Bombyx mori: one gene and its partners. The main gene of each other region encodes a partner of the protein of the gene in region 2 in a complex. Links are inferred from orthologs where the notes say so. Each region holds a gene or a part of one and is shown on either strand. Other genes may lie near its edges. The genes, in order: structural maintenance of chromosomes protein 2, condensin complex subunit 1, condensin complex subunit 2 and structural maintenance of chromosomes protein 4.

What was found.
Region 1: condensin complex subunit 1 (region 2) and structural maintenance of chromosomes protein 2 share a complex: the UniProt entries of both Homo sapiens proteins name them as parts of the condensin complex. The link is inferred for Bombyx mori from reciprocal best matches to the Homo sapiens genes NCAPD2 and SMC2.
Region 3: condensin complex subunit 1 (region 2) and condensin complex subunit 2 share a complex: the UniProt entries of both Homo sapiens proteins name them as parts of the condensin complex. The link is inferred for Bombyx mori from reciprocal best matches to the Homo sapiens genes NCAPD2 and NCAPH.
Region 4: condensin complex subunit 1 (region 2) and structural maintenance of chromosomes protein 4 share a complex: the UniProt entries of both Homo sapiens proteins name them as parts of the condensin complex. The link is inferred for Bombyx mori from reciprocal best matches to the Homo sapiens genes NCAPD2 and SMC4.

The regions. Positions count from the first base shown.
Region 1 is NC_085131.1:14,293,361-14,301,189, forward strand, and holds the start of structural maintenance of chromosomes protein 2, read right to left. Parts: upstream 4,416-7,829; 5' UTR 4,274-4,415; coding exon 4,106-4,273; intron 3,715-4,105; coding exon 3,565-3,714; intron 3,162-3,564; coding exon 3,000-3,161; intron 1,429-2,999; coding exon 1,318-1,428; intron 1,031-1,317; coding exon 909-1,030; intron 593-908; coding exon 436-592; intron 116-435; coding exon 1-115. UniProt on the Homo sapiens protein: Central component of the condensin complex, a complex required for conversion of interphase chromatin into mitotic-like condense chromosomes.
Region 2 is NC_085114.1:10,417,633-10,425,745, reverse strand, and holds the start of condensin complex subunit 1, read right to left. Parts: upstream 6,661-8,113; 5' UTR 6,497-6,660; coding exon 6,379-6,496; intron 6,181-6,378; coding exon 6,067-6,180; intron 5,489-6,066; coding exon 5,316-5,488; intron 4,951-5,315; coding exon 4,778-4,950; intron 4,486-4,777; coding exon 4,344-4,485; intron 4,144-4,343; coding exon 4,048-4,143; intron 3,295-4,047; coding exon 3,127-3,294; intron 2,261-3,126; coding exon 2,099-2,260; intron 84-2,098; coding exon 1-83. UniProt on the Homo sapiens protein: Regulatory subunit of the condensin complex, a complex required for conversion of interphase chromatin into mitotic-like condense chromosomes.
Region 3 is NC_085117.1:9,015,049-9,022,954, forward strand, and holds the start of condensin complex subunit 2, read right to left. Parts: upstream 5,389-7,906; 5' UTR 5,127-5,388; coding exon 5,001-5,126; intron 4,521-5,000; coding exon 4,362-4,520; intron 4,074-4,361; coding exon 3,873-4,073; intron 3,567-3,872; coding exon 3,404-3,566; intron 3,018-3,403; coding exon 2,909-3,017; intron 2,624-2,908; coding exon 2,450-2,623; intron 1,988-2,449; coding exon 1,860-1,987; intron 1,589-1,859; coding exon 1,385-1,588; intron 765-1,384; coding exon 524-764; intron 1-523. Other genes in the region: protein LSM14 homolog car-1, read left to right, coding at 6,831-6,951. UniProt on the Homo sapiens protein: Regulatory subunit of the condensin complex, a complex required for conversion of interphase chromatin into mitotic-like condense chromosomes.
Region 4 is NC_085134.1:4,024,720-4,032,082, reverse strand, and holds part of structural maintenance of chromosomes protein 4, read right to left. Parts: intron 7,227-7,363; coding exon 7,097-7,226; intron 5,865-7,096; coding exon 5,723-5,864; intron 4,902-5,722; coding exon 4,773-4,901; intron 3,683-4,772; coding exon 3,525-3,682; intron 2,832-3,524; coding exon 2,693-2,831; intron 1,642-2,692; coding exon 1,462-1,641; intron 710-1,461; exon of another isoform or gene 682-709; coding exon 499-681; intron 1-498. UniProt on the Homo sapiens protein: Central component of the condensin complex, a complex required for conversion of interphase chromatin into mitotic-like condense chromosomes.

The DNA of each region.
Region 1 (7,829 bases), on a different chromosome or scaffold from region 2:
TCTCGTGTCCGCTCAGGGCTTCTTTGCTGCCTTTATATTGTGAACTTGCTGCTGCTTCAACCTTCTCCAAGTTTTGAAGTTCTACTTCCAAATCTTTGAGGACATTCCCACTCTCCTGATACAATAATTAAATGATTAGTGGTTTACATATAAAAAGTCTAAACTTTATCAGCTAACTACATCATCCGATGAATAATAACGACACGAATTGATAGCAGATTCCTTAAATTATGGATTAAACGCACTCATGGTTGCCTAATGCACAATGGATATCAGTTCCAATAACCATTACTATGTGAATTCTGCTCCAGATCCAGACATAAAGTGCAAGTCTCAAGTGTATCCCTTCACACCGGACCGCATAGAATGCGACAAGAGCCCCGCTCTGGGGCTGGACTCACGGACGAAAAGCGACGACTTACTGCTGTCTCTTACCTCATCCAGTTTTTTGTTTAAGTCAACAACTTGCTTATCCAGCTCTTTCATTTCTTTCTCATTGTTTTTAATAGTCTCTTTTTTCAATTTAATGTCGTCCTGCACTTGCGTGACTTTTCCCTCTGCTGCTTTGGTTTGCTCTTCAGCAGAAACATACCTGTAACGGAGATATCGTTTTAACTTTCGTGACTATGATGTGCTAAAATATTGCCTTGTTCTATCATGTAAATAAGTGGTTTAGAAGGGGAAGGTAATAAACATACTATGGACACTTGTGCATGTATACTGTAGAGAGAGATGTTCAATAAAATTGTTTTCTTTTCTTAATGTATTTAAAACAGAAAGAAAGAAGTACTCAACATACTAAGAAGTACTCAACATACTGACATTTTTGTGTTACACTGAACAGGGAGGCACACGGGCGGCCGCGCAGTCCTGTGGCGACTAGGAACTTAGGCAATGACCATACTCACTTCCAAGCGACACACAGCCTGGTGATATTCTCCAATTCTCTGACAACCTTCTGATATTCTTGGAACTGAGATCTTTCATCTTGCAGCTTCTGAAGTTTAGGTGCTATGTCTTCTCTTATTATCTATTTTGAACAGAAACAATTTTGCCACAACAGTTCTTTTAATGTATTTTCTGAGAAGTTTTAGTTCAGTTCAAAAAAATTTACATCTGATTAATTGTGATCCCTTCTACAAAATCATTATTTTATTCAAAAAAGTATTGGCAGTTCTGAAAGTCCACCTAAGTAGTCCTAGAAATCTACTAATTTGATGAAGTGATAAAATAGTTTTATTTGTGTCATATTATGCTTTAAAACGAATCGACATTTGTACAGTGTGCAGTGACAGTAAAATTGTACAATTGACTTACATCATTAAGTTCCCGGAGCTTTGCATCTTTCTTCTCAATAGTTTTCTGTGCTGCTTGTTTTTTAGCTTCATACATTCTTGTACCTGCCGCTTCCTCTACCATTGATAATATCTAACAAAAAAGTGGTATTGTAGCTGTATATATTTTAGCCTTCAGTGCAATGTGGTTATTGGATGCCAATGCTAAACATGAATGTCTCTAGTGCCAATTTACCATGTTCATGTTCTTATGGCCTTTTTATTGTTTATTGTATTTTATAATTATTAGAAGAAATTTGTAATCATTAGATCAGCTAAATTAGTTACATTTCATTTATTCACAAGGATGTCAAACACAATTACAGCACAGGTTTTTTGCCTTTTTTTATTACTTAGATAGGTCATTGAGCTCACAGCCCATCTGACTTTAAGTGGATACGGGAGCCCCGCCACCCACCGTGGGAAAAGGCATCCAAGCCTCAGTGTGCAATTACTGCCCCACCCTTGAAAAACGAAACACATTACTGCTTCAAGGCAAAAATAGGCAGAGTGGTGATACATACCTATACGAGCTCATGGGATGTTGTACTGCCAGCTCAACTTCAGTTCTCAGGGAGAGTGGTAGCATCAACATTGTCTTGTGGATATAAAACTCTTGTGCTCACAGCTTTTTTTTTATCTTAGGGCCAACAATGGCTGGGCAGCAGCCACAGAGCAAGGTTAAATGGAAATCTTCCATATCAGAAGACAAGATCTCAAGTTTACTGATATTGTGGCTAGTAAGTGTTTGAGGGAAAACAATATAAGAAACATCTTCCACCAAGCAGATAATTTTGTTCCATACACCAAAAGTCCAAATATTGTTTGTAACTGGCTTAACACATGCAAAGCTTCTTTTGAAAATGCCATTAGTGTGATTTCAAAATTTGTCAAATATTTTCTGTCCTACGATGGCACGAATTGGGAAGCATAAGGATATTACACCACATTTATTACTAAGGCTGTATGTCTCTACCTATATTTTAATCATCACAAATAGCTCAAACATACAATACAACTAATGCCACACAGTACAGAGAAAGAAAAAAATCACAAAGCAATTAAGACCTTACTAGAAATTACAGTGCACACGCTTTTAGAAAGATTAAATTTCATTCAGAGGAGTGAGAAAAATCATACGACTTAAAGTGAAGTCATATCCAAGACAAGATTTGAATGCAATCTAATGCATCATAATAGTGAAATCAGTCACTATACTTATCAAAGTACTAATCAAAGTATTTTGTAATTAGACTTGATGATTTTGATTCATAATCTATATATGTTTTTGATTATCTATATATATAAAAATGAATTGCTGGTTGTTAGTCTCACTAAAACTCGAGAACGGCTGGACCGATTTGGCTAATTTTGGTTTTGAATTATTTGTGGAAGTCCAGAGAAGCTTTAAAAGGTAGATAAATATGAAAATTCTCGGAATTCAATAAGAATAACAATTTTGTTTTTCCTTTGATGTATCCCCCGTCGGACGGATTCCTTGTGTTTGTTTTAAGTTTATTTTATACAAAAGTTTAGGTCTTGGCACTGCGAAGTCTGCCTGGTCAGCTAGTAAGAAATAATTATTTTATCCAGAACTTCAGTTCGTAACACTATTTACTAAGGTCATACAAGTAATTTAACTGCTGAAGCTGATGTATGGCTTACCTCAGGAGGTTTCATATTTAGCACCTTAGTAATCCTTCCCTGCATGATGAGGAAGTGTGGGTTATTGACATTAAGCTGAACCGAACAGAATAAGTCACTGACCCTCTTGTTTTGGACATTGATACCATTTATAAGGTATTTATTCTTACCACCCATCACCACCTGAAATTTATTTTTCAAATTGTTTCAATAATTGTTAAATAGCATGTTCTTTATATTAGTTTGATTAAGCAAATTTGGATGAGGAAATATAACTTTTGAATGCTATACGTTATTTCTTGTTTTGTTCAGCAAAGCTTATGAAATTTAGCTTGGTTTGCTAATAGTAAAAGTCAAGCTACTTGATCGAATGATTTGTAAATGATGTATTAAATCATGTCATCTCAAACATTTGAATATTGATTTATTAATCATGTATATATTCTTGGAACTATTGTATTCTTGGAACTTTTTAATAAAGTAATTTAATGGAAGCTTCATGAACCTGGAAACTTAGCAAATGGTTATTCAATTTCTAGATGTTTTGTTGATTACTAATTACTATTCCAATATAACTATGTCTTACCTGTCTAGTGACAGTAATCTCATCATGATTCTCATAGCCAATCGGACATTGTCTCTTATCTCTGTTGTCGAAGGTAATGCTAACTGTTGCTTTGGTGATACCTGCCTGCCCATGCTTGTAAATAAGCTCCTGCAAGCTGCTTGCTCGTACCTATTTTTTTATAATAAATTAATTAATAATTTAGGCACAAATTTTGTTAAACAAGCATTTTGACCAAGAAGCAACTATGTTTTATTGTTGGAATATTCATATTATTTATAATTGTACCCAGAAAGAAGCAGAAAACATCATTGTCGAGTTTACTTCGCATCAATCGATATTATTGTTGTACTAGAACTTGAAAAGTGTATGTTTTTATTTTCAAGTCATCATGTATTCTGATGCCCATAGGATTTATGTCGCATATTTGATAGGTAATTGAATATTATCATGAATAAACGCTGCTACTATATCGCCATAACCCTTAACAGTGAATGGTATTTGGCGGGAAATAAATCAGCAACAGTTGTTATTTTGTTAGCAATAATAAACTACAACATACATTCGATAAATTTGTGATTCCAAGTACGAAACATATAGAATCTAAGATATTTGATTTTCCAGTCCCATTTAGACCAGTGATCGCATTAAATTCTGGATCAAATCCAGTAATTTCCACTCGGTTTCCGTAAGACTTGAAGCCATCTAACACTATTGACTTAATAAACATGTTCAGATCATAAAAACAACAGTTATAGAACAAGAAAATTCATTAAAAATTTAAACTCATACGAATTCATCAAGCGTTAGAGAAGCCGTTGATTTTTTTATGAAATCAAAATTGATTTGTGTTTTTAAAATATTTTTGACATTCATTGATTAATGACATTGACACATTATATTTTTCTCGACAACATTTTTTTTAAAGATTTTAATTCGATTTAGATTAACAATATGGTAAAGAGGTAAAAAATTATAAGTGTACCGATTCTTTTTCTTTTCTTTATTGCATACTAGCTGACCCGGAAGACTTCGTAGTGCCTCTATCAATAAATAAAAGACTTAAACCTTTGAAGAAAATAAATTTAAAACAAACAAAAGGAATCCGTCCGGCGCGCGGCGGGGGGGACATCAAAGGAAAAACAAAATTGTTATTTTTATTTAATTCCGAGCATTTTCATATTTATCTATCCTTTTAAACCTTCATTGGACTTCCACAAATAATTCAAGACCAAAATTAGCCAAATCGGTGCAGCCGTTCTCGAGTTTTAGCGAGACTAACGAACAGCAATTCATTTTTATATATATAGAAGAAGAAGATAGATAACATCTCAGATTCAAATGTAATAGATTCTGATTCGAACTAAAATAAATTGTAGTAAGTACAGAAAATGAAGTATTTTAACCATGTAGTGAAAGTTCATAAGCGCAAAAAAAATCATAGGCCGTGGCTTCGGCCGTGGACGTGGACTTGACAACTTCCAAAAAGTCTACAAACTCAGACATTAAATCTCACCCTTTTATAAGTTGTAGCCCAAAGAATAAAACGCCCGATGAACTAGTATCATTATAGCGTAATCGTATAGCATTAGAACTAATGTCCAACAAATCGAAAGCAGGGCGGATGGATCTACTAGGACTTGTCGATGTAAATGACAGTGGCTGATTTTTGCACGAGCGTGAGCTAGAATGTAGTCAATAGTGTCTTTAATAAAGCTGTTATCATATAGCATCGATATCAAGAAATAGTGCTTCTATATCTCAAACAGAATAAGATACCCAGCGAGGATGAACTCTTCTCCGATGGCAGGCGGTGCGATGGTAAAAGTGAGATGATGGAATCATCTCAAAGAATTCCTCATAGCACTCCCCATGGAACATACGGTACAAAATACAGAGAAAAGCGAAGTCCTTCCGCAGACCCAGAGGTTCCAAATGATCCGTGAGATCCGGGATTATCGACAATCCGAGCGGCCCTTTTCTATATAGAGTGAAATCGAAGTAGCTCGTATTTGGTAACCCTAGCCCAGAGATGAAAAGGCTTTGTCCAGGCGTGAAGTACTGCTTTGCTCTGTTGAGGACTTCCAGCATCTTGGACGCCAACTTGGCTTTGCCTTCCAAATGACTCCAAAATTGGACAGACCCCAAGTATCCAGGTATTCTCGGAAGGTTGCAGGGATACTCCTTGGATTTGGCGCCATAACAAAGGGGTCCTTCTTCGTAGTTAACGCGCAAACTTATGTCTTCAATGGATTGAATTGAGCGAAGTTCAATTCGCCCCATTCGGAGATTAGCTTCGGAGAGTTCTCCACTTCAGACACAAGTTTTGATCGTCTCTCTTGCACCACGCTCCGTGAGAGACTCTGATGGCCGATATATCGCGCATCCCCCTTACTGTCATCCGCATAGCAATGCATATCATCAATAGACATCATGTCATTGACATTGATATACAGGATGAAAATCATATACTTCAGGAGTTGTGCATTTTTTATTCGCTCCATCACCTTGGAAAGTAAGGAACTTATCGCGGTAGGCCTATAGCTCGATGGCTCCGACCAGTCGCCCTTCTTGGGGATAGGGTGGACGTGAAGGGGTCTTCCATGAAGACGGATACAATAAGAGAGGCGATACAAATGCGTTAGCGCAGGTGTCAACTCAGGGGCGCACGTTTTCAGAACCACTGCGAGGATGCAGTCTGGCCCACTCGACTTATAGACGTCCAGGAGTCGGAGCTCCCGCCTGACTGCATACTGTGTGAAGCAGATCTCCGGCAGGGAGCTATCACACCGGAGGATGTTCGGTGGTATGGCACCCCCGTCGTCCACAGTCGAGTTCGACCACGTGCTCCGACTTAATAAGTTCATGACTGTACACGACCCGGTCTGTATGGCTGTTTCCGAGTCGTGTAATAATATTTTCTGCTGTCTGTTTGTGCGCTGGTAGAAGACGGCTGTTTCTTTCGATGGGTTTCGGCTTCTGTAGCGAGGTTTCACAGGTAACTGTCTGGTTCACTGGTAGCTGATTCACTGGTGGTTTTCTGATAACTGTACTATTGGAGAACTGCTGGTAACTGTTTCTGTCTTGCTGATGGTTCTTTGTCGAAGATTCACTGGGAACTGTTTCTGTCTTGATGTTTCTATGTCGGAGATTCGCTGAGAACTGTTTCTGTCTTGATGATCTGCTGAGAACTGTTTCTGTCTTGCTGATGTTTCTATGTCGAAGATCCACTGAGAACTGTTTTTGCCTATAAATGGCCATCCTTTTATATTTATTTCAGTACCCCATCTCGCGACGCGCTATCGACGCGCCACTTTTGGAGGGTCCCTTGATCTGTATGTTACCGTAGTGAAAGCGCTCCACAAATCGTTCCTATTGGTCTATTCACATTCTCTGATCTGATACACTAACATATTGCATATTAAATAATTTAAGATTATACAATTTTGTTACGTAATTACTTATTAACTATATTAATTGTATTTGTTCGATAAAACTATTTAAAATCAGTTTCGTCCTGCACAATGACAATTCCGCTAACTTTTCGAACAACATTCGCCGAACCCTTAACTTGAACGCGCAACGGTTAGTAATAGTCCTGATCTCAAGAGCAAGCGCATTCCATAGCAGAACAGATTGCACGACGATAGAGTTACGAACATAACTAGAACTATGTGTGGGACAACGAATAGGTTAAAAATAAATCGAATGCAGTTATTAAGAAGACGATCAAGTATTAAAAAGGTCTGCATTCAGGTCAAAATAACACACATCACCGTAATCCATTATAGGGAAGATCAAGGCTTGTACTAGCATAGTCTTAGTCGCTGATGGTAAGAAATTCTTGAGGCGATGCAGAGCACGAAGAATTCCAGAGGTTCTTTGTCCATCGTAAGATATTTGAGCTTTCCAGTCGAGTGTGGAGTCTATGTAAAGGCCTAGGTTCTTAACCACGGAACTTAGGGGAATCACTGTACCATTATAAAATATTGATGAGAGTGATATAGTAGTTATGCGTTGAACCATACGAGGACTACCCACAATAATGGCTTGGCATTTCGCTGGATTCACGGTTAAGCCAAACTTAGTTGACCAACTACATAATAATATGTAGTCCAGATCCCTATTTAACTGGTTTATTGCCTGAGAAATATATAAATGTAAATGCCACCATCGATCTAGAGACTTGTCTTTGTATAGTGTACTAATTCACCTACATTAAATTTTAACGCAGGTTTAAATTGTTTTTCCTTAATTGTGGAAGTCATTCCTGAACATTATTCAAA
Region 2 (8,113 bases):
CCAATGGCGCGTTCGAGTACGGTACGTTGTCGGTTTACCGGGACACAGTTCTCCCGTTGCAAACGACACCAGAATTGGAGCACCTTATGAAGATTATTTATTACCAAATGCTTATATATTGTCATTTATACTTTTACTCGGTATGACTTTTTTTTATTGCCCTTGTAGGCAGACGAGACGAGGCCCACCTGATGGTGAGTGGTTACCGGCGCCCATGGACTTCAGCAATGCCAGGGGCAGAGCCAAGCCGCTGTATACCGCTTAATACTCTCCACGAGACCTCGTTTGAAGAAGGACATGTCATAGCGCTCGGGAAACTATACTTATAGTAAACTAAAACTAAACTATAATTATAGGGTTTTTTTTTCTTTTGTTCTCCTTTTAACAATAAACTGACTTCTTGTTCTTCGTGTATTATATACGTACAGAGGTTGTTTGATTGATTTTATTAGAAATGCAAGTATTTTATTAGAAATGAGAGCAAGGGCGAGGCTCTTGCTGTGAGCCTTGATATCGCGAAGGCCTTCGACAGGGTCTGGCATAGGGCACTTCTATAGAAGCTACCATCTTACGGAATCCCTGAGGGTCTCTGCAAGTGGATCGCTAGCTTTTTGGATGGGCGGAGCATCACGGTCGTTGTAGACGGTGACTGTTCTGATACCATGACCATTAGCGCTGGCGTTCCACAAGGTTCGGTGCTCTCCCCCACGCTTTTCATCCTGTATATCAATGACATGCTGTCTATTGATGGCATGCATTGCTATGCGGATGACAGCACGGGGGATGCGCGATATATCGGCCATCAGAGTCTTTCTCGGAGCGCGGTGCAAGAGAGACGATCAAAACTTGTGTCTGAAGTGGAGAACTCTCTGGGGCGAGTCTCCAAATGGGGTGAATTGAACTTGGTTCAATTCAACCCGATAAAGACACAAGTTTGCGCGTTCACTGCGAAGAAGGACCCCTTTGTCAAGGCGCCGCAATTCCAAGGAGTATCCCTGCAACCTTCCGAGAGTATTGGGATACTTGGGGTCGACATTTCGAGCGATGTCCAGTTTCGGAGTCATTTGGAAGGCAAAGCCAAGTTGGCGTCCAAAATGCTGGGAGTCCTCAACAGAGCGAAGCGGTACTTCACGCCTGGACAAAGACTTTTGCTTTATAAAGCACAAGTCCGGCCTCGCATGGAGTACTGCTCCCATCTCTGGGCCGGGGCTCCCAAATACTAGCTTCTTCCATTTGACTCCATACAGAGGAGGGCCGTTCGGATTGTCGATAATCCCATTCTCTCGGATCGTTTGGAGCCTCTGGGTCTGCGGAGGGACTTCGGTTCCCTCTGTGTTTTGTACCGTATGTTCCATGGGGAGTGCTCTGAGGAATTGTTCGAGATGATAACAGCATCTCGTTTTTACCATCGCACCGCCCGCCACCGGAGTAGAGTTCATCCATACTACCTGGAGCCGCTGCGGTCATCCACAGTGCGTTTCCAGAGATCTTTTTTGCCACGTACCATCCGGCTATGGAATGAGCTCCCCTCCACGGTGTTTCCCGAGCGCTATGACATGTCCTTCTTCAAACGAGGCTTGTGGAGAGTATTAAGCGGTAGGCAGCGACTTGGCTCTGCCCCTTGCATTGCTGAAGTCCATGGGCGACGGTAACCACTCACCATCAGGTGGGCCGTATGCCCGTCTGGCTGCAAAGGCAATAAAAAAAAATAAAAATAAAAATGCAAATGCCTGTAACTATAGGCTACAAATAAGATGTGGATGTGATTTTTTTAGTAATAGCAAAGACACAGCCATGACTTCTTTGAAGGACGTTTCCAAAAAGCTTAGTTTGGTTCTAACTTGACGGCCGTCTGGTGTAGTGGTAAGTGATATGGTCACTACACAAGGGAGTCGCGGCTTCGAATCCCGCCAAGGGAAGATATTTGTATGATAAATATAAAATGTCTTTTCCAGGGTTATGGATGTATATTAAATATATGTACGTGTATAATAAAAATCTTACATTTATTTCCGTTATCTGGTACCTGTAACACAAGTTCTTTACGAACTTAGCAAGGGACGAGTTAACGTGGCGTGTAAAAAAAAAAAAAACTAACCTTATGGCGTACATAAGCGGATAGATCGTGTATGTGCTCATACAAATCGTCGAGGAAGTCGTCGCGCTGTATGCGCTGCGCGTCCGACAAGCCCTCGCCGCGCAACTCCACGCTCAGCACCTCGCACATCATCCCGAGCACGCTGATACGGAGCGTGTATGACTGTCAACCAAAATTAATAGTTTCTTTTTACACATCCTTGGCTTTGATGGACAATAGATAGCATTGGACCGGCCGCACTGGGGATCACTTGGAGAAGTCTATGTTCAGCATTGGACAGTGGAGAGGCTGAGATGATGATGATGATGATGAGATTGCATTTTTTTTTATCTATTCTAGTAACTTCGAGGGGTTATTCTAGATTCACCGAACTAGTAGGTGAGCTCGCGGGGCTCAAACCTGACGATGTTGTTGCTAACACGAACCCTAGCAAGAGCCGTGCTCCAAAGAATCTACCACCTGATCGGAAACGCGACCCTCTTTTTGTACCGCGTTTGTACATCCCGATGTATTTTTTTTTAATTTTGTTACTGCTATCCTGTTACGATTGTCTATTAGTGATTAACTTAATTTAATTTAATTTTAATTCACAATTTTCATGATAAGTTAGTTTCATGAAGAGATATTTCAATTGGCCGACCTCAGTAATACTGTGCTGATATAAATGTATGTACATGGGTAAGTTAAGATGTAGTAATGTAATATTTAATTATTAGCGTCCAAAGCAGAAGAGCCAGCAGCTCCACTTGTTTGCATAATTTCTATCACGCAAAAACATCAGTTATACAATACAACAACAATACAGGACATAACTTTTGCCCTTGTAGGCAGACGAGCATACGGCCCACCTGATGGTGAGTGGTTACCGTCGCCCATGGACTTCTGCAATGCCAGGGGCAGAGCCAAGCCGCTGCCTACCGAACTATACTAAGGCCTCATCAAACGCCCTAGAAACGTTAGGAATAGTTGATATCTTAAAATAACCTTGTCAGATCTGTAAGCTGTTTAAGTACTGACTAATATCTTACCTCATCGCTCTCCAAATATGGTTGTAATGTCGCAATTGCATTGGCCATTTCTTTAGGTAGTTCTTTGGTGAGTTCCAATAAGAAAGCCCCACAGTTCCTAGCTGCACTCTGCTCTGTGCCTGTTGTTTCTTCCTCAGTTGACGCCAGAGCTTCTGCTATTTCACGAACCTATTGTAGTATAGTTGAAAAAGCAATGTCATTAAATTCCTGGGAGCAGTTAAGTAGCACCAAGTCGGTGTAACTTTTACCTCAGTAATTGTCTGTATCGTGTTGTTTCTTAAGGATAGCGTAGGTTTGTGATTGGTATAGAGTTCTGTTGCAGCTCCACAAAATATTAATTTACTAAGTCTATTCGTGTTTAGTTTAGTTATTTACTATTATTACTTTATTTTACCACTTTATACAGCAAGATATTAAGTGAGTTGTCTGTCTGTGGGTTAAACTAAACGCCGAAGCCTTCGTCGCATTCAACGGGTTCGCTGAGGACGGTGCTTAAAATGCCTAAAAACATCAAGAATTGATCAGAAGGATCCAAAATAATGATCCTAATACACAGTCATTAACGTTTTTAAAGTTATTAGTGGTGACTGAGATTACCACCCGATCGTTTGTATGAAATTTTTGTAACACAGTTAAACATTGATGATCATATTCTTAAACATATTGTGTTTGTCTAGCAGAAATTGATAACATAAAAATGGTTGTTCCTTTTTGCTGTTCCTTGCTTCTCATTTTAGTTGATCAGCCGTATTTATTGCTTGTTTTTATTATTATTCAGATTATATCAGTTTACAAGTCTTAGAATAATTTTTACTAAGTTACCTTATGTAAAAAAGAATTCTAGTCAAAAGATACAAAAGTTACAGCAACATATTTTAAAAGATGAGAAGATTTATTCTGAAATAATATATTTTCTATTACCATTTGTGGCCCAAAAGTACCAAGTCCAAATTCTTTTGTCAACTGTACTACTCCAGCACATATTGGTGACACAGCATGCTCAACCATTTGAAGTATCTGAAATAAAATTTTATTTATCTTTTTACTGTTCTTTTAAAAAACATTTTTTTTGTTTATTACTTAGAATATGTAGTCAAGTTCATGACTGAGTAAAAAAATCAATTCCAATCAAGTCCGTGTGATTGCTTTGCGACCGAAATAGCCAAGTGGCATCTTATTGTTTTGTAAGAATAAAAGGTTTAAAACCATATACATACCTGGACGAGTTTAATGAGACATGATGTCCCATGGTTATATTTCTTTATAAGGACTCCTAGAACTTGGAACACAGTGTCTCTTATAGCTTTGTTTTTGATCATTTGTTCTTCTAGTGCTTTGTAGCAAGGATCTGCTATCATTCTAAAAGTATTTAATTTCATATTTTCATTGTATTTTTTCTACAAAAGCTCTTTTATTGAAATAGCATTTATTAATCTTAAATTTTTTCACTTTGACAGTTAGCATAAACAAAAGATTAAATTATTAATTTTCAGAACCAATTGGAATAAAGCAATCACCAAGTGTTAGTATATGTATGTCTACATAAATAATAGATTAATATGAGCATATTGTGATTGGTTAATGTGATTATAGGGATAAATGCATAAACTTGTATTTACAATTTTATTCTATAGATTTGGGTGATACTAACGAAACAAAATTATCTTCAGCCAATGGAGGGTCCCACAATCTTGATAATGGTTGTTGTGTAACCAAGTACAGAGTGAGCATTGCCGCTTGCTTGTCAGATTCTGTCCAACCACATAATTCTTCTTCTTCTGTTGCCTTCTTACCTTTCTTGCCCAATGTTAGCTTAGTGGAATTCTGTGACATGAAAAAATATTATATGTATACATTTGAGATTTAAACCAAACCACACTTCTGTTTGTTACTTGTAAAAATCTCTCAAAGCAATCAAAATCCTATAGATCTAGCTTATATGAAAATAGAAAATACTACATTAATCTGGGTCTTGGTGACCTCGGCCTCTTGATGTCTAGGATACCAGAGCCAAAAACAAACCACATGAATGCTTTTACTCACTTTAACACACGAAGATGAACTCATAATGTTTTTTATCGAAAATATAACTTTCTTCAGTCTGGCCAAACATTGTGATAAAACAAAGACAAAAGTAAAAAAACTTTATTTTTACAAATAAAAAATGATGATGCGGGAATTATACTCACATCAGCAGCCAATTTGGTGTCTTTTGTTTTCATTATTTGGGTGAAGAGGTACATTATCATTTTAGTAATATTTAGATTTTTAACCCTCACATCAACATCCAATTCTTGTTCCTGGAGTATTAATTCTAAATGACTGCATAAATTCTTAGCAGCCCTTATTATGTGGTCAAAGCCTGAAAACCCAATCTAATCTTGGAATAGGTAATTCATATCATATTTCATACCTATCTTATGATATATTAACTGGTGGTAGGGTATCTTATGAGCTTGCATGGGCAGGTACCACCACCTTGCTCATTTCTGCTGTGAAACAGTAATGTGTTTCGGTACTAAAAGGGTGGGACAGCAATTGTACTGTAACGACAGAGACTTTCAACTCATGTCTGAAAGTGGGTGGCAGCATTAATGTGGTTGATGTCTATGGGCTCCTGAGACCCCTTAACACGAGGTGGGCTGTGATCAGATCAATAAATAAAAAATAAATAAAATGTCTTACTATATAATATATTGACCCAATCAATGAAAATTAGATAAGATCATATGCGTTTTTTGCTATGTCCCATTAATGAGGTTCATGAGTAGCAGTATCTCTTAACCATTATGTGTACCATAATATACACTTTATACTCAACTGCCATTGATGGAAATAATAAAAATCTTATTACACAAATTGTCCATAAAAAACTGTAAGACTATTTAATATTCAGTTCCTTGTTATATTTATAATTTGTTTGCTATAAGCATAAATTACCTTTGTTGATGACATTCCACTCCAGTTTCACTCCATGTACAATTATTGAAAAATATGTATCAAAATGTTCAAGTATATAATCAACTCCTACAGAATTATAAGCACGGGCTCCATCTGTAAATTTGTTTTCATTTGTAGTAAATATCAATTTGGTTATAAGTAAAATAATGAAACTGGACAACTACAATGTTTTATGTAAAAATCACCAATGCCCCAATTTTAAAGGACTTTAGAAAAAATTAGGATCGTATAAAGCTTCGGCAATTATATGAACTTAATATCTTTAAACATAACAAATTTTTGAGTGAATACCTTGTAATTTCGACAACATGAGTCGCGGTTGTACTACATCCTCGACGTGATATTGTCCTGCATGGGATTCTAATAACTCGTCCTTTTGTAAGGGAATAGCAAATTCAAAATGACTCATGTTTTGCTATCGCAAGGATTTTAGTAAATATGTTATCACATTTATTAAGGTAAGCTGTTTAAAGGTTTATTTATATTACAAACTAAACTCAAACACCGCACCTACAAAATCAGTTTGTTTTCAAAATTCAAATTTAAAGTGAAGTTGACGTGCATGACATATATGTCAACTTTTTCACAGACCATCTGGAATTTTTATTTAAGTAGGTATTTGAACAGGATCAAAGTTCCTTACTTTTAAAAATAGAACACTTCAGTTATTTATTTATTTATGTACACACAAAAAGAAGACATAGTACAGAGTAATAGGAAAATTATATACAAAGGCACTGCTTATTTCATTAAGAAATCTCTTCCAGCAGACTTGCGAGAGGATTATGAGAATAATAATTAAAAGTGATGTGTGTGTAGAGCAGCTCAAATAACAAATACAACATGAGAATTATAGTAATGCACATACACATAGCAAATATTGTTAAACAGTTAATAAGTTTGGAAAACATTCGTTTACAAAAAATTTGGAACCAATTGAAAATTTTCGTGTAAAACATTCGAATTTTACAATACATAATATTTGTATGCATAGTCACAATAGTTGCATGGACGGCAATGAAAGGCAAAGTAGGTTTTTTCCTAATGTGAGGCTTTCTATCAGTTAATTCCCTTTTATAGCTCCCGATGGCTCCTTGGCAATATTCACCTGAGCGTCCAAGCCCGGCCAGAGACAGAACATGGGAGCAGGTACGACCGTGATCAATACTACTCTAACTAGACGACCGACGTCATCTCGAAGATTACGCAGATAAAAGCAAACACGACTGATTGATTGAAAATTGAAAGAATGCTGATATCAGATTATTCGAGATCATCATAATTAGTCCACAAATGTCTACTGCTGGAGATAGGCCTTCACGAACGATAGCATATCTGGTGTTTAAGAACGCACTTTTTATGATGCGTAAGCCGGAACGCACGAGACGTGGGAAAAAGAAGATAGTCTGTGACATAAGACCTTTTTACCGCCAAAAAATTTGAAACCGAAAAAATAAGATATAATGTGTATAATAACTAATATAATATAATAACCTAGAATTGTTTATGCCGCTTCAAGTATAAAACTCCTATTGTTTCAACTGTGGTGTTAATTACGTAAAACATGATTTTACGGTGAAATAAAGAAGGGACTCTATATGGACTCCCTCACAGTAATAATCGGATCTGCGCAGCACGCATACTACGGATTTCCATTACCTTTAAGATGGCGTTGGTCTAATTTGTCAGAGGCCTACCTATTGGTGGACATTAAATAACTTTTTGGCTCCTTCAAGCTATATCGGTTATCTTGGTTCTCCTAATTGTTATAAGATAATATATCCATGGTTGTACAAATTTGGTGCATCAGACCTTATTTTATACAATCATTCTACGCCATTCAAATTCGGTAAATTATAGCACATAACTCTGACTCAGTAAAAATGTTATTTTGTACTTGTGTTATGAGTTTATGAGTTTTTTATGCTGGTATTACTTTTTGACACGTTGCCTACATGTCACTTGACGTTTAACTTTCGTTCGCCAGCAAAGAAGGCAAGGAAGCTGACGTATAGAATTCTAAGAG
Region 3 (7,906 bases), on a different chromosome or scaffold from region 2:
AAAAATGTGTGCGTGTACTAGTGTACACACGTAAGAAGTGAAACTTCTTTATGGCCTTATTTTTCGAAAAATGATCTACATGCAACTTTCTAGAAATTGGTTAAATAAAGTTAAATTAGATAAAGTTTAAACAAAAGGATTTTATTATCATAGACATGAATACAAAAAAGTTAAATTAGATAAAGTTTAAACAAGAGGATTTTATTATCATAGACATGAATACAAAAAAGATGGCGCGTAACGGAAAAATGTGACGCGTAACCGAAAAATGTGACGGTAAATTTTTTTCCAACGCCGATAAGGAAGTTTCACTTCAAAAGGGAAAATATTACAGTTTGATATTATCATTAAAGAATTTCCAACATTTCGAAAACTTGAGTTTTCATGGTTACCGACGAATTCGTCATTAGTTTAGAATTGCATTTAAGTTTAATAACTTTTTTTATATATATATATTTAAGATTTTTTTGTACATAGAAAGTACTAATAGTATCCTGAAGCCTGACAATAAAAAACACTCTACCTATCAATAGGAGTTTTAAAGTTGGTCTCGTTCCACGTGTGTCCCGTGGCGAGCGTCTTCCTGCTGATCATGATCTTGGCCGGCTGGATGGGCTCGTAGTCCCCGACGGGCGCGGACCGGCAGTCGAACGTGAGTCCCGCGCCTTCGAAGTCTAACTGCCGCTTCGTCCGCGCCGGCTTCTTGTTGCCGTCCGCCATCAGCCGCCCGCCCATCGATTGCGTTCGCTCGGAAAGCTTTGATGCTGTACAGCCAATGTTAAAATATGATTAATTATGTTTGCTACGGTAAATAAAGATTAAGTGAGAAAGTTAATATTTCGATTTTATTGGATTACAATTATTTATTTGTTTTTAAACTAAATAAAGTGACAGTTTATCAAATTAAACAGAAGATTCATATGTTTGGGACGGTCATTAGTTTGATAGCTAAACGAAATGCAGCACGATTCCCGAGAGATGGCAGCACCATTGCGGTAACATCGGAACTCGGCTAACTTCGATGACCACTACGACAGAGCCTAGCCGATGGAGGCGCGTAGACGCTATCACACTTACCAATCAGCATTCTTGAAGAGGGGTGTCTCCATCCTAAGAACTGTCATTCGTTTTCGTTCGCTAACGCCAAGAGAAGATTTCTAAATTGATCTAAGACAACAACTACAATAACAACAAACGTGACGTTCTAACAAACGTGATTGGTGTGCTCATTAATTCTCTTAGCTCGATCACCCTATTCGCCCCTACCATTTCTGACGATGATGTTAATAAATGTGGCTACTCAGACATATATTTATTCAATATTTAGTGAATTGAATATATAGCCCGTGCGAAGGTAGCCTTATAGATAGGTAGAATTAAGAACCTCTGTTGTTTTTGAGTCTCCAGTGCGCGGGCCCCGCCCATGCGGCGGCCAGGGAGCAGTAGGAGTACTCGAGGCGCGCGTGGTGCGGCGCGGAGGGGCGCGCGTCGGCCAGGCGGGGCGCGGGGAGGGCCACGCGCGCCACGCACGCCGCCACGGCCGCGTCCGCCTCCTCGCCGCTCTCCACGCCTCCCAGCGGCTCATCGTCTGCAAACGTTAACCTTTACTCGTAAAACGCATCGATCTTTTTTTTTTTGCTTAGATGGGTGAACGAGCTCACTGCCCATAGAGACCTATAACATACCTTACCTATTGACCTTAAAGGTCTCAATATGGTTACAACAGCTGTCCCATGGTTCAAACCGAAACGCATTACTGCTTCACGGCAGAAATAGACAGGATGATGGTACCTACCGGTGCGGACTCACAAGAGGTGTTGTTGAAAAACAACATTTATTGTACAGTTTGCAAAACTCACCATACAAATCATTGTGTAAGTCATCCTGAGGTATCGGCTCCACTTCAGCATTGACATCAAAAGCCAAGGCTTGCTGTGATAGATTCAATCTGTTCTCTTCCACCCAATTTGTCACTCTGTTTTCCCCACTACAAAATTTATAAGAATTATTTTAACCATACCCATAACATAACAATATACAAAACCACATTTTTTATTTTTATAGAATCTACTTCTATTAAAACAATCAATAAATTAATGTTAAAACTAAATTATAATTTTGCACAACACATATGATGCGTAGCTAATCATTTTGTATCAGTGTCTGATATCTACACTTTGGTATTTGTAGATTTCATCCTCAAAACATGTCAAGCAAAATAAAGTTGCATTCACAAAAATTGTTCCTATAAAATTGTTATACTAAAGTCCAACATTGGATACTATACCCAAATGTATAAAAAAAAAAAAATTTATCGCCGAGACACAATGCGCGCGCTCGACCATGAGATGTCTGATAAATTTAGATTTAGAATTGTATCCCTTGTGTTGGTTGGAACTCTTAGAAAATAGCCAAATGTTTCATTCAGCATATATATTATGGCACTAACTTGTCTTCGGTATCCGGATCCCAATTGCTTATAGAGAAACCCGTGAAAGGCTCACATAATGCATCCGTTTCTAAAAACGGCGGCAGTAACTTTACGGCGAGGGTGATGCGGTGTGACAAGTCCAACTCTTCAGGGATGTTCTCCTTGACAGGTTCTAAAAACTTGGTGTCGGTCCTGCATAATGAAACAAACAAATCTTGCATGCTACCAAAAAATAATACATCACTTTAAGTTTTTGTTTGAATACTATTTGCAATTAAGAGTAATTAAGTAATTAATTATATATAATTTCTTTTACATTGGATGAATCAAATTTTACTTTTTTACTTAAAATTAGGCTGTTGGAATATTTTTTTAAATACTTCAATTACTATACAACTAAACCATATTAAGCATTTAGATTTTAACATTAATGAGAATTAGTCAAACACAATGATCAACTCCTTCCATTACTCTTACCTCAGAATAAGCGCAAGAGTTTTGTCATGAATTGGTAATGTAGCATTGAACGCTCTATTTGATGATGTGACATCTCCTGTAGTTGCGGCCAGCCTCTCAAAAAATGGATCTATATAAAACACACTGTTTTTAAAAAAAAATTACAAACTACTTCTATCAGCACCCATGAGCCTACTAGAGAAAGAATATTTAAAATTGTAATTAGTGTTTATCTAGACACCTGTGTTCATCATAGTGGCTTATAAGGTCCAATCACTCATTAAGAATAAAATTGTAGCATATGAGATTAAATTAAACAATTTTAGGATAAATGGAATTATCTAAATTCCATTTATCCTAAAATTGTATAATTGAAATAATATGTAGACACAGTTTTAAAATTTTATTTTATTAACTCATAGGTTCATTAATTACGTTTTTGTTGTATTTTTGGTAATATGCATATGGATAGCCTTCTGGAACGCACGGGGATAGCATGTAGGTATACAAACTTACCTATACAGTCATTGATGTCGAAATCACCATTAAAAACTTCTGGATTTGCTGCTATCGCTCCTTTAGATCGTTTCTTTTTTTTCTTAATGGGTGCAGCATTCACATCTCCATCTAATGCACCTTCGTCTTGTATATTTTCATCATCTTTTTTGCCTCTTTTTGACTGGAATAAAGATGTTATTGCATAATTGTAATTAATTTTACGGTAGTAGTTTATCATTTCCACCAATAACAGTAAATGAGAAATTCATTTGGTTGAGAACAAGGTGAAAGGACTACTGGATTGAATTTAGTATCTTTCGAATCAAATATTTAGGTTACAGAGCTAATTGTGATGATGGTATGAAGTCACTTTTAGAAAATACCCTAAATACCTTAAAACGGTCCAGATCAGGTGCAGGATGACAATGGGAACTATACATTTAATGTCAATCAAGAGTAAAAATAGTATTAGTAAACAGTGGTTTACCTGAGCAGCTTTAATTAAACCACCAGCCATTTTAAGTACATCATAATGCACGGCATCAACTCTGAATGAGTATATTCTAGCAGAAGCATCAACCACAGTGGAAGCAGTTTGCAAGTTATCCATACGAGCATCGTGACGTCGAAGCATGGAAGTCATAAAATCTATCAATTGTAGATTCCATGCATTGTCTTTTGTTATTTTCTGTGAAACAAAGAAAATCGTTGAGAAAACTTTATAAATAATCAATAAATATATTTAATTTTATTAAGAAACCAAATTAGCAGTAATCTTACAATACATTTTCATCACTTTAGAATTTTATTTCAACTCAACTAAAGCAAATATATTTTACACTTACCGTGATAATAAGTCAATTCTGAATCATAAATATGAGAAAGTAACATAAATGTGAGAAGGTTTTTGAACTGTTATTTCAATTCCTTAGAATATATTATTATTATCTCATCAATTAGTTGTCAGCAAACTTACATTTTCTGCATAAAGTTTAAGGCAACCTTGGAAATGTTCTTTCTGTGGTGATGAAGACATAGTCTCCCTTCCACGACGTGGAGATGCCTGTGGGGTAGATGCAACCACGCGATCTGATGCCACAAGTGATGACCTTTCAGCATCATCATCATTGCACTCCTAGTTGTTAACAAAGATTATATTACGGAAAAAAGATTTTTATACTTTTAGACCAAATATATGTTTTAAAACTTTAATAATTACAACATTAAATTTAAATTTAATAAATAATAATAACTTTTAAATTTGCTAGATTACATTCTTATATAGTGTGAGGAAGTATTGCTAGACTTGTATTGATAAACTTAATCTAGAAAACAAAATATATTTGCAATCAAAACATACACCTAGACACTTATTGTTTTAGTATCATTGGACAATTTTTGGATTATTCAGACATGCGGAAAACTTGTTATTTTATGGTTGGTGTATTAACAATCAAAACTTCATATTACTTATTAAAAACCTAATATAATAGAATGTGACAAGAATAAAAAAAAAATCTAGTTTTAAGCTTGTCCTCTGTAATTTTTATAACTAATGCACGATTTAAAATACAGCCACTGCCTTTAAATAATTGAAGCATTCATATTTGCTCACCTCATTTCTTGAATTGGCCACTCTATTTTGAGGTATCAAACTACGTCTTCTAATTGAAGTGTTACTGCTCCCGCCAATACTAATCCTGGATAAGGCAGGCGTTGAAGTTAAAGGATTTTCCATCATTTTCCACTTCAATCGTCTTGAGTTATATTCGTATTTTTCGATTATAATTACACAAGTATATTACAAAAACAAACATAAAGTGAAATTTGTATTCAACTAACACGAAAAAGAAAGAATTACAAACTCAACGGACATTTGGAAATTTAAACAAATTGTTTGGTAGGATTATTTTGAAGTTTGCGGTTTTGACAATAATAATCTTTTTTTTTTAGACAGAAAAAATTAAGGGCTCATACAATACAGCCAAAACTTTATGTTATTTTGGGACAACGTTTATTCAGTGTGGTCAGGCCTTACAAGATGGATCGACAACCTGTTGGAATTTTGTTATGGAATCCGTTAGATACAGGTAGTCTGATCATTATGGTGAACCTTGGCTTATGTCTAGCCGTGTATATGTGTGAGCTAATGATGATTTGAAATCAAGTCTTGCTAGTTATGTAAAAAGTAAAAGTTAGCGAAATTAAAAATAAGTTGAATATCAGAACTAGACTATAGGATAAAATTGAATGAAATGAGGTAAACTGAATTAAAGTTGATTAATTGGGAATTCAGAGAATTCAATTAACTTTTTGGAAGAAGAGAAGCCACTTTTTGAGATTTTGTTTTAATTCCCATACTTAGTCTTGAGCATTTTCACAGATGCTAAATGGTTAGTCATTAACCATTATTTTAAGCTTAAGCCTGTAGAAGCCCTAGCAAAATAGTACAATTACTTAACTTTTTTTATTGTCCTCGCAGGTAGACGAGCATACGGCCCACCTGATGGTGAGTGGTTACCGTCACTCATGGACTTCAGCAATGCCAGGGGCAGATCCAAGCCGCTGCCTACCGTTGAGTACTCTCCACAAGCCTTGAAGAAGGATATGTCATAGTGCTCGGGAAACACCGTAGAGGAGAGCTCATTCCAAAGACGGAGGGTACGTGCCAGAAAAGATCTCTGGCAGCGCACTGTGGATGAACACAGTGGCTCCAGGTAGTATGAATGAATTCTACTCCAGTGGCGGCAAGTGCGATGGTAAAAACGAGATGATAGTATCATCTTAAACAATTTCTTCCAGCGCTTTTCAATTTTTTTTTAATTTTAGATACTCCTCCTTTACCAGTCCAATTGCAGAAAAAACATAATGGTCAGTGATAATTATATATATTTAAAGTAGGTACATACTTAAAAACTGTGTAAATAAGCAATATGCGCATTGGTATACCTATAATATACCTATAATTATGTTTATTACTAATACTTAAACCCTATAAATCTATATATTTTTGTATGCCATGGAGTTAATAAGTGCTTACAACTACTAACTTAATGTCGTATACTTTTACCTGTGATCTATACCTTCAATTTCCGTTCTACTCTTGATCTGTGAATGTGAATTTTGGATCTTATAATTTCTACACCTACTACAAACGTTTTACTGGTAGCGAAGAAATGTGAACACGAATTCGGGTGAATTGAATCCACATGATATAATATGGCGCGAAGTCAGCAAATTGTAGTGTATAATCTATGGATCGCCTGTGAGACTATGCGAGTCTGTAATTTATTCGGCAACACTGGCTGTTTGTAAACGCTGCGCTTGTTGCCAACTTCCCGTCAGTCATTTTGTTGTTTGTTCTGATTTATTCGGTGGATAGTTTTTCAGTCTTTGAAATCGTCGAAAATCTTTGTCATCGAAATCGGTCAAGCAAAGTGACATAATGAGTTCTGGAATGCCTGAATTAGGCTCCAAAATAAGCCTAATATCGAAAGCTGACATTCGTTACGAAGGCCGACTTTTTACTGTCGATCCTCAGGAATGTACTATCGCCTTGGCTAGCGGTAAGCTAAAAAATGGATTCTTTCTCTTTAAATTTTTATGTAAACTATTGGTTTGCAGTTAATGTAAACGTGAAATATTGTAATGTCTCTAAAACACCGCGTTTCATCATTAATTCGCCAGAAATCGTAAGTACTCGAGAAAGTGCTAAGATTTTCCCTCCGTATGATCCAAGTTCACCTGTACGAAAATTAAACTTTATAGATAGAAGAAATCGTCATAAGATAAAAAGTTGATTCTTGCAGGACATCATTTTTTTTTCTACCCTCTTTAAATGAAATAGAAATGTGCCTTTGATTGCGTTTACACATTGGTGACGTTGTAAACTGTTCTTGCCGTACACCGTATATAACAATTGTTACATTGAACACGTCGTATGAAACGTCTGAATGACTAGCTATATTTAATAAAAAAAAATGTTATATTGGAATATACACCGTTGACCTTGAAAATCATATGCTAACTACCTTCAATTCTTGTAAGATTAAATATCCGATAATCTATTTTCTAATAAGTTTCATATTAGTCATTTGATTTTGGTCTACCTACTATAAATGTAATGTATGTAACTCAATTTAAATTAATTAAACAATACATCTTTTATCCTCTGGAGAGCTACATTTCCACATATACTGTACAATGCACAGTCTAAAACATGTAATGGGTCCATACTAGATAATATAAAATTTAAATATGTTGGTTTTCTCTTCATAGTCCCATGAGCTTTAATCATAATTCAGAAAAGGGGAATAATTTGAAATGGAAAAATTATTTTTACATTTGATAGTTGTAAATTTAAAATTATTACAAAATCAATCTTGAAGTTTAGTAGTTATTGAAGCTTGAAAAAAGTCAAGCATGAAATACATTTCCAATCATCTTATACAGCTCTTGATGGTGTATTTACAGGCTTGTATATGTTATTTAGCATGCGTAGCTTGATATCCATGGGGTAAC
Region 4 (7,363 bases), on a different chromosome or scaffold from region 2:
AACGACTTTAAAAATCGTTACAACTTTTAAAATAATAACATCATGTGAAATAAATAAATAAATGCTTTAACAGCAAAGCCGAAATAAAAGAAATGATTATTTTGTATCATAGTGGTTCTTCTCTTTGACACGTATGCAAATTTTTCAGGGTAATTAGACATCTTGAACATGGTGAAAATTTCATTGAAAAATTTCGTCATATAAGTTTTATATCACCCTGCCTATTTCTGCCGTGAAGCAGTAATGCGTTTCGGTTTGAAGGGTGGGGCAGCCGATGTAACTATACTTGAGACCTTAGAACTCATATCTCAAGGTGGGTGGCGCATTTACGTTGTAGATGTCTATGGGCTCTAGTAACCACTTAACACCAGGTGGGCTGTGAGCTCGTCCACCCAGCTAAGCAATAAAAAAAAATACTAAGTGTGTTAAAATGCTTTTTTTAAATGTTACCGTATTTTCATAAGAATTTGAATACATTATTTAAAACAGTATTCTGACCTGTATCGCTTGTATGTTAGGTTTATTATCTCCCACTCTATTCTTCTGAGCTGCCAGTTTATTCCTCAGATCATCCACAGAACTCTCCTCCAGTTCTTCGGGGGTGTGCTGACGCAGCGGTTCCGGCCTCTCCACCCCAGGGATGCCGTCTAATCCCGAGTCTTCTAACCTTAGACTTGATAGCTGAATACAAAATTATTAATTAGAGGTATAGTAAATGATTTAGTGATCAATAAATAGTAGAAAGCTCTACTCATTTTAAATTGTAAAGTGACTGTTTATTTTTAATAATTAATAAAACCTAGCATACATGTTCTTGGCGAATATCACTAAATATATAAAATAATATATCAGTTGAGTATATATTATATTGAGTTTAGGATACTCAACCACGTGAGTTGCAGTTTTTTTAAGGGATTTTATGACCTGGTAACTGAGACCTTTAAGTCATGTCTTATTTTAATGTATATTCATATTTTTATGAAAAATGATGTTATGGAGTGAAATGAAATGAAGATGATTAATTTGAGACATTAATCAACTGGGATGAAATTAAATAGTAGGCAGCGGCTTGGCTCTGCCCCTGGCATTGCTGAAGTCCATGGGCGACGGTAACCACTCACCATCAGGTGGGCCGTATGCCCGTCTGCCTACAATGGCAATAAAAAAAATGAGATGAAATATGAAATTTAATCTCAGTAAAATGGTGGTCATTTACTAAGATTTTTTCAGTGGATTTTTTGGAGGATTCCGAGAAGTTACGTCCAGCGGCTTTGTTTCATTTTCCCACATTTGTGCACTTTCACAGATATTAAACAGTTAATAAACAACCATTATTACACATTTAAACCCGAACAAACACTAAATAGACAAAATAAAACAAATCACACAACTTCACTCCTCGCGTTCCCGCCAAAAAGTCCTGAGTTGCAGTAGAAATAAAAAAAAAAAACAACTACCCACCTCTTTTTCCCACAGAGGGATCTTGCTCTTGCAGTCGAGCACGGACTTCTCCATTTTGCTAACAGCATTGGCAGCTTCTAAACGCTCACTCTTCAGCTTATTTTCTTTCGATTGTAATTTCGCTATCTCCTGTTTAAGCTCTGAAAATTCACTGGTGCCCTCGTTGATTTCCTCCTCCAACTGCAATGATAATCCTCCTCATGTTAAGAAGTAAGATAAACATTATGAATATATTAGGATGTGGGTCGGTTGTCGAATTATGGTGAAGTATGCAATTAATTAACCACTATACAAAATATAATATGTAATTAATAACCCTATAAACTTCTTTGTATAATGTTCTAATAATATATCAAAATATTATTACTCCTTTACGAGTATTTTCTTCCTTTGAAGTTGAATCTTTGTTTTTTAATATAGATACGAATATATAAAAGTCTCCGTGCTATTATGCAATAAATGTAGGCACAAATAAAACTTCAATCTATATATTAATACGTGAAGCAAAAAGTTTGTATCCTTTTTTACGAAAATTGCGCGGACAGAGGAGTATGAAATTTTCCTCACTTATAGAGAATATAGAGAAGAAGTGCACAATGCTAATATTTTTTTTAAAGAATGCATAAAAGATACATTAAATCAATAAAGAAAAGATTACACACACTACATACCATGTATTTGACGCACACACGCATGCATACTATTTATTGTCAAACTTTTGTTCTTGACGTCTTGTCAAATTGAGAATAGAATATGGTTTGTCTTTGTTAATATTTTTTATAGTGTAGTCTTGGCGAAATTTGTGATTATAGAAGTATAAAATACAATCGTAATAGTGTACAAACTTACAATTCCAATTAGTTATAGTCGAATTTCGACTACTGCGGGTCCTCTAGTTTCAATAATTCAATAACGTCATCTTTTCAATAACTGTTCACTTTATGTGACAACAAAACGATTTCTCGAATTCTGATCTCAATTCTCACAACTATATACTTGGCAGAATATAAAGTAGGTCTTTTTTCCGCCTACGTGCTGGGCGAAGTCGAACAGTCCAAAAACTGTCCTTTTATAGTCCAGACCCAAATTCACCGAAACAAGCAAGAAGCAAGGTGATAAGATAAGAACTAAGGAGTTGTCTCGTAATATATAAATATAGCCAAAATTACTACCAAAGAAGATCACGTATATAGGCATTTAACAGAAAAGTAATATTTGTAACCGTACACACCTCTTCGAATTGCTTTTGATATTGTTCGCTGTCCAAAACGAGTTGTTTTTTCTGTGTTTTCAGACTTTCTAGAGTTTTATCAGTTTCTTTGAGATCTGCGTCCATCTGATTGATCTTATCTTTCGATTTGTTTGCATTCCTGTTCAATAATACAAATTTTAGTAAAAGCACAATTGATCAGACAAGATGCGCTTACAAGATTACATCTAAAATGGCATATTTGTTTATGTTTTGAGCTTGGATTTAATGAGAGACTGATTGGATAGTGAATCTCCCCATCTCTTTCGCACATCTTTGTTTTAATGACAGTGACGTCATAAACACTATATGTATTTTTTGCTAATTACATTATCCATCAGAAATATTCCTAACTTGTTTACTAATAAGAAAGTTGTTGCGTTCTTAAAATTTCATAAATACACCATCAGACAGTCTTGTAGTAATGGCTAAATATGTCTTAAGTGTAATATCTGTCGTGGCGTGCAACCTCTTTTACAGGACATACGACTATTTACAGACTGTCTTAAATGCGCCACCCACCTTGAGATATAAGTTCTAATGTCTCAAGTATAGTTACAACGGCTGCCCCACCCTTCAAACCGAAACGCATTACTACTTCACGGCAGAAATAGACAGGGCGGTGGTACCTACCCGTGCGGACTCACAAGAGGTCCTACCACAGGAATGAAATTTTGGCATTTCTAAAATTTGTGTAAGTCAATCACTGGCGGTAGGGGGGACACACGAGAATGAACGTCGCTCGCTCCCACGGGGGGACGGTGTGGTGCAACACTGCGCCAAGACTAACTGTGACTAGGAGGTCATCGCTCACCGCTTGCTGGTGCTGATCGCGACCTTCAGCTTCGTAGTTTCAGTCACGATCTTATCGATCTTCGCCGTAAGTTCAGTGACCTTCTTCTGTAGGTCCTTGACCTTGCCGCCGGCTATCTTCGATATCTGCGCCTCCACCTCGTTAACTTGTTCTTCGACCTACAACATAACGATTGACGCGTGCTTTACAATTTTTTTTATGGATTCAATTACTCAGTTAAGGTAAAATCTGATGAGAAGATAATCAAATCGTGGTCTCTTATCTATACTAATATTATAAAGCTGAACAGTTTGTTTGTTTGAACGCGCTAATCTCAGGAACTACTGGTCCGATTTGAAAAATTCTTTCAGTGCTAGATAGCCCATTTATCGAGGAAGGCTATAGGCTATATAACATCACGCTAGGACCAATATAAACGGAGCACCAATAAACAATGTTGAAAGAATCGGGGTTAAAAAATTATGGTCGAATTGATAACTTCCTCTTTAGGAGTCGGTTAAAGAGCGTGATTTTGGGTACCTTAAAGAGCTCCTTAACATTGTATTATTCAAAAATATTTTTACTTTCTACGTAAATGAAGAGGCGGGTAAAATTTAGCGTTATACAAAGTAACTATGGGACTTCGGTATTTTGTACCGTATGTTCCATGGGGAGTGCTCTGAGGAATTGTTCGAGATGATACCGACATCTCGTTTTTACCATCGCACCGCCCGCCACCGGAGTAGAGTTCATCCATACTACCTGGAGCCACTGCGGTCATCCACAGTGCGTTTCCAGAGATCTTTTTTGCCACGTACCATCCGGCTATGGAATGAGCTCCCCTCCACGGTGTTTCCCGAGCGTTATGACATGTCCTTCTTCAAACGAGGCTTGTGGAGAGTATTAAGCGGTAGGCAGTGGCTTGGCTCTACCCCTGGCATTGCTGAAGTCCATGGGCGACGGTAACCACTCACCATCAGGTGGGCCGCATGCTCGTCTGCCTACAAGGGCAATAAAAAAAAAAACTATTCCACGTGGACGAAGTCGCGGGCTAAAAGCTAGTATACTTATACAATATAATATGTAATCTGTAACATTCATCATGCCAAAGAATTATCGCTAGAATTATATACGAAATTCAACGTAACTACAAATACAAATACGAGGAATTCTTCATTTACGAGCAACTAAACAACAAAGTTCAGATGTTCTTATAAACTTATGGAGGGGCAACACGAGAGGTTTCCCAAACAAATTCCATGGACGTACCTCTGCAGCATTTCCTGTGGCCTCATACAGTTTCTCTTGCGCGTCTTGCAGAACAGCCTCCAGCTCGGCTTTACGTTGCTGGTCCACTTTACTCGAAGACGCTCTTCGTTCTTGCGCTTTTATTTGTTGCTGAAATTACATCCAAATTCAAACATCCACGGTACGAGGAGAAACCACGTGGTACTATCCACCGGCACCGCACCAAGTTTTTTTTTTTGAAGTCAAACTTCTATTGCGACTTCCAACAAGGTTGCGTTAAACGTTTAACGCTACTATACTAGAAAGAGACAGCGAGAGTGAACGCGCGGCACTCGAACGTACGCGCGTAGTATACCCGGCGAGCGTTAGCAACGAGTAGCTCCAATATTTTAATGAAGTATTTAAATATATAGATGTTATATTTATTTTTACAATCTATAATTTAAAATATATATAATAATATATATAAAAGTGAATCGCTGTTCGTTAGTCTCGCTAAAACTCGAGAACGGCTAGACCGATTTGACTAAATTTGGTCTTGAATTATTTGTGGAAGTCCAGAGAAGGTTTAGATAAGTATGAAAATGCTCGAAATTAAATAAAAATAACATTTTGTTTTTTCTTTGATGTTTGTCCCCGGTCGGACGGATTCCTTTTGTTTGTTTTAAGTTTATTTTATACAAAACTTTAGATCTTTTATTTATCGATTAAGGCACCACGAAGTCTGCCGAGTCAGCTAGTGTATATAATATAAATGTTATCGCATCTCTTATATACAGCATTCCCTATTACAAGAGCAATCTGATTTAAGAATGTAAAATGAAGAAAACCACAATACTACACATCGAAAAAGAAGAGTCACTTCATTCACGTGCACCAAGTTGCACCCGCACCGTTTTTTTTTCAGCAATTTCCCTACAGCAATAGCAACAGTTTCCCTAGTACCGGTCGGTACTGGCATCCCCTCTCACCTCCAATTCAGGTATCAGTTGTGACAAGCTCTTCACTTCAATTTTAACTTTATTCAAATTCGACATTCCCTCTTTGGCTTTTCTTTGCAAGTCAGACAAAGACTCTTCTACGTTTGACTGCTCGTTGCGTAATTCAGATAATCTGTAAATGTATTACGAATTATAAACAAAACGACTTTTTAGCGGGAACGCGAGGAGTGAAGTTGTGTGATTTGTTTTATTTTGTCTATTTCGTGTTTCTTCGGGTTTAAATGTGTAATAACGATGGTTTATTAACTGTTTAATATCTGTGAAAGTGCACAAATGTGTGAAAATGAAACAAAGTCGCTGGACGTAACTTCTCGGGATCCTCCAAAAAGTCCACTGAAAAAATTTCAATAAATGACCACCATTTTACTGAGATTATATTTCATCCCATATCATCTCATCTCATTTGATCCCAGTTGATTAATGTCTCAAATTAATCATCTTCATTTCATTTCACTCCATATCATCATTTTTTATAAAAATAAGAATATAAAATAAAATGAGACATGACTTAAAGGACCAAATCATAATATCACTTAAAAAAAAAAACTGTGTTGTAAGCGTATACCTAAACTAGGGACGCTCGATATACATCGATGTGTCATATCATTTCGATGCATCAGTTATATTCGATGTTTTAAGATATATCGATGTATTCCAATCCATATATCGAATAAATATCTCCATAATAATTGTTGATCTAACGGTTTATTTTTAAAATTTTCAGTAATAATGAGATGACATTAATATTGCGAAGACTAGGATTCAGTATCACAATATTCCTTTGCCTATGATATAGACTGTATAATTTATGGTCGACCGCTCTTTTACTTCATACTTCACTGCAAGTTAAAATTTTGAATTGTTTAGGTTAATCCATAGTGGATAACTAGTTGTTACAATACTGAAAAGAGAATTTCAACATATACTTGTTCTTAAATTTTTTTTATCGATATATCGCAAAACATCTATGCCACCGCTCCGACTGATGCATCGCAAAAAACATCGATATATATTTTAAATGAACATCCCTGACCTAACCCTGTCGTACTCTGGTCTCTGTTTGGTTGTCAAAGGGTTCAACGTGAAGCCTAACTCATACATCAGCCCGCTGAGTTCCTATCTTCTCAGCGTGTCGCAATTTGGGCCTTTGAGCTGTCAGATAAGCAGCATCTTGAGTCTGCCCCTGGCATTGCTGAAGTCCGTAGGCGACGGTAACCACTCACCATCAGGCCGTATAGTCGTCTGCCTACACGGGCAATAAAAAAAAAGATCCTCTTCGGAGGCGTTAGCGAAGTTCGCCTCTTCAACTGGAAAGGTCTCCGGGGCTCCAAAAAAAATAAGGACCTCTGTTCGAGCTCAGCTAGTTTCCTCTCGCTGGTCTGCACGGCCGCGGGGTCCAGCTCGCATGTGTTCTGCTGCACCGAGCTGCCCATACGACCGCGCATCGTCGACCGCCCGCCTCCCGACATTGTACCTTAAACATTATACTTATTTATTAACACTAATAATAATAATAAAATAATTTATTGCCCTTCAAATAAAAGAAAAGAAAAAAAAGAGAAAAAGGCAAAAGGGGGTGACTCAGCTAATGCTGTTCAAGGTCCGCGTCGA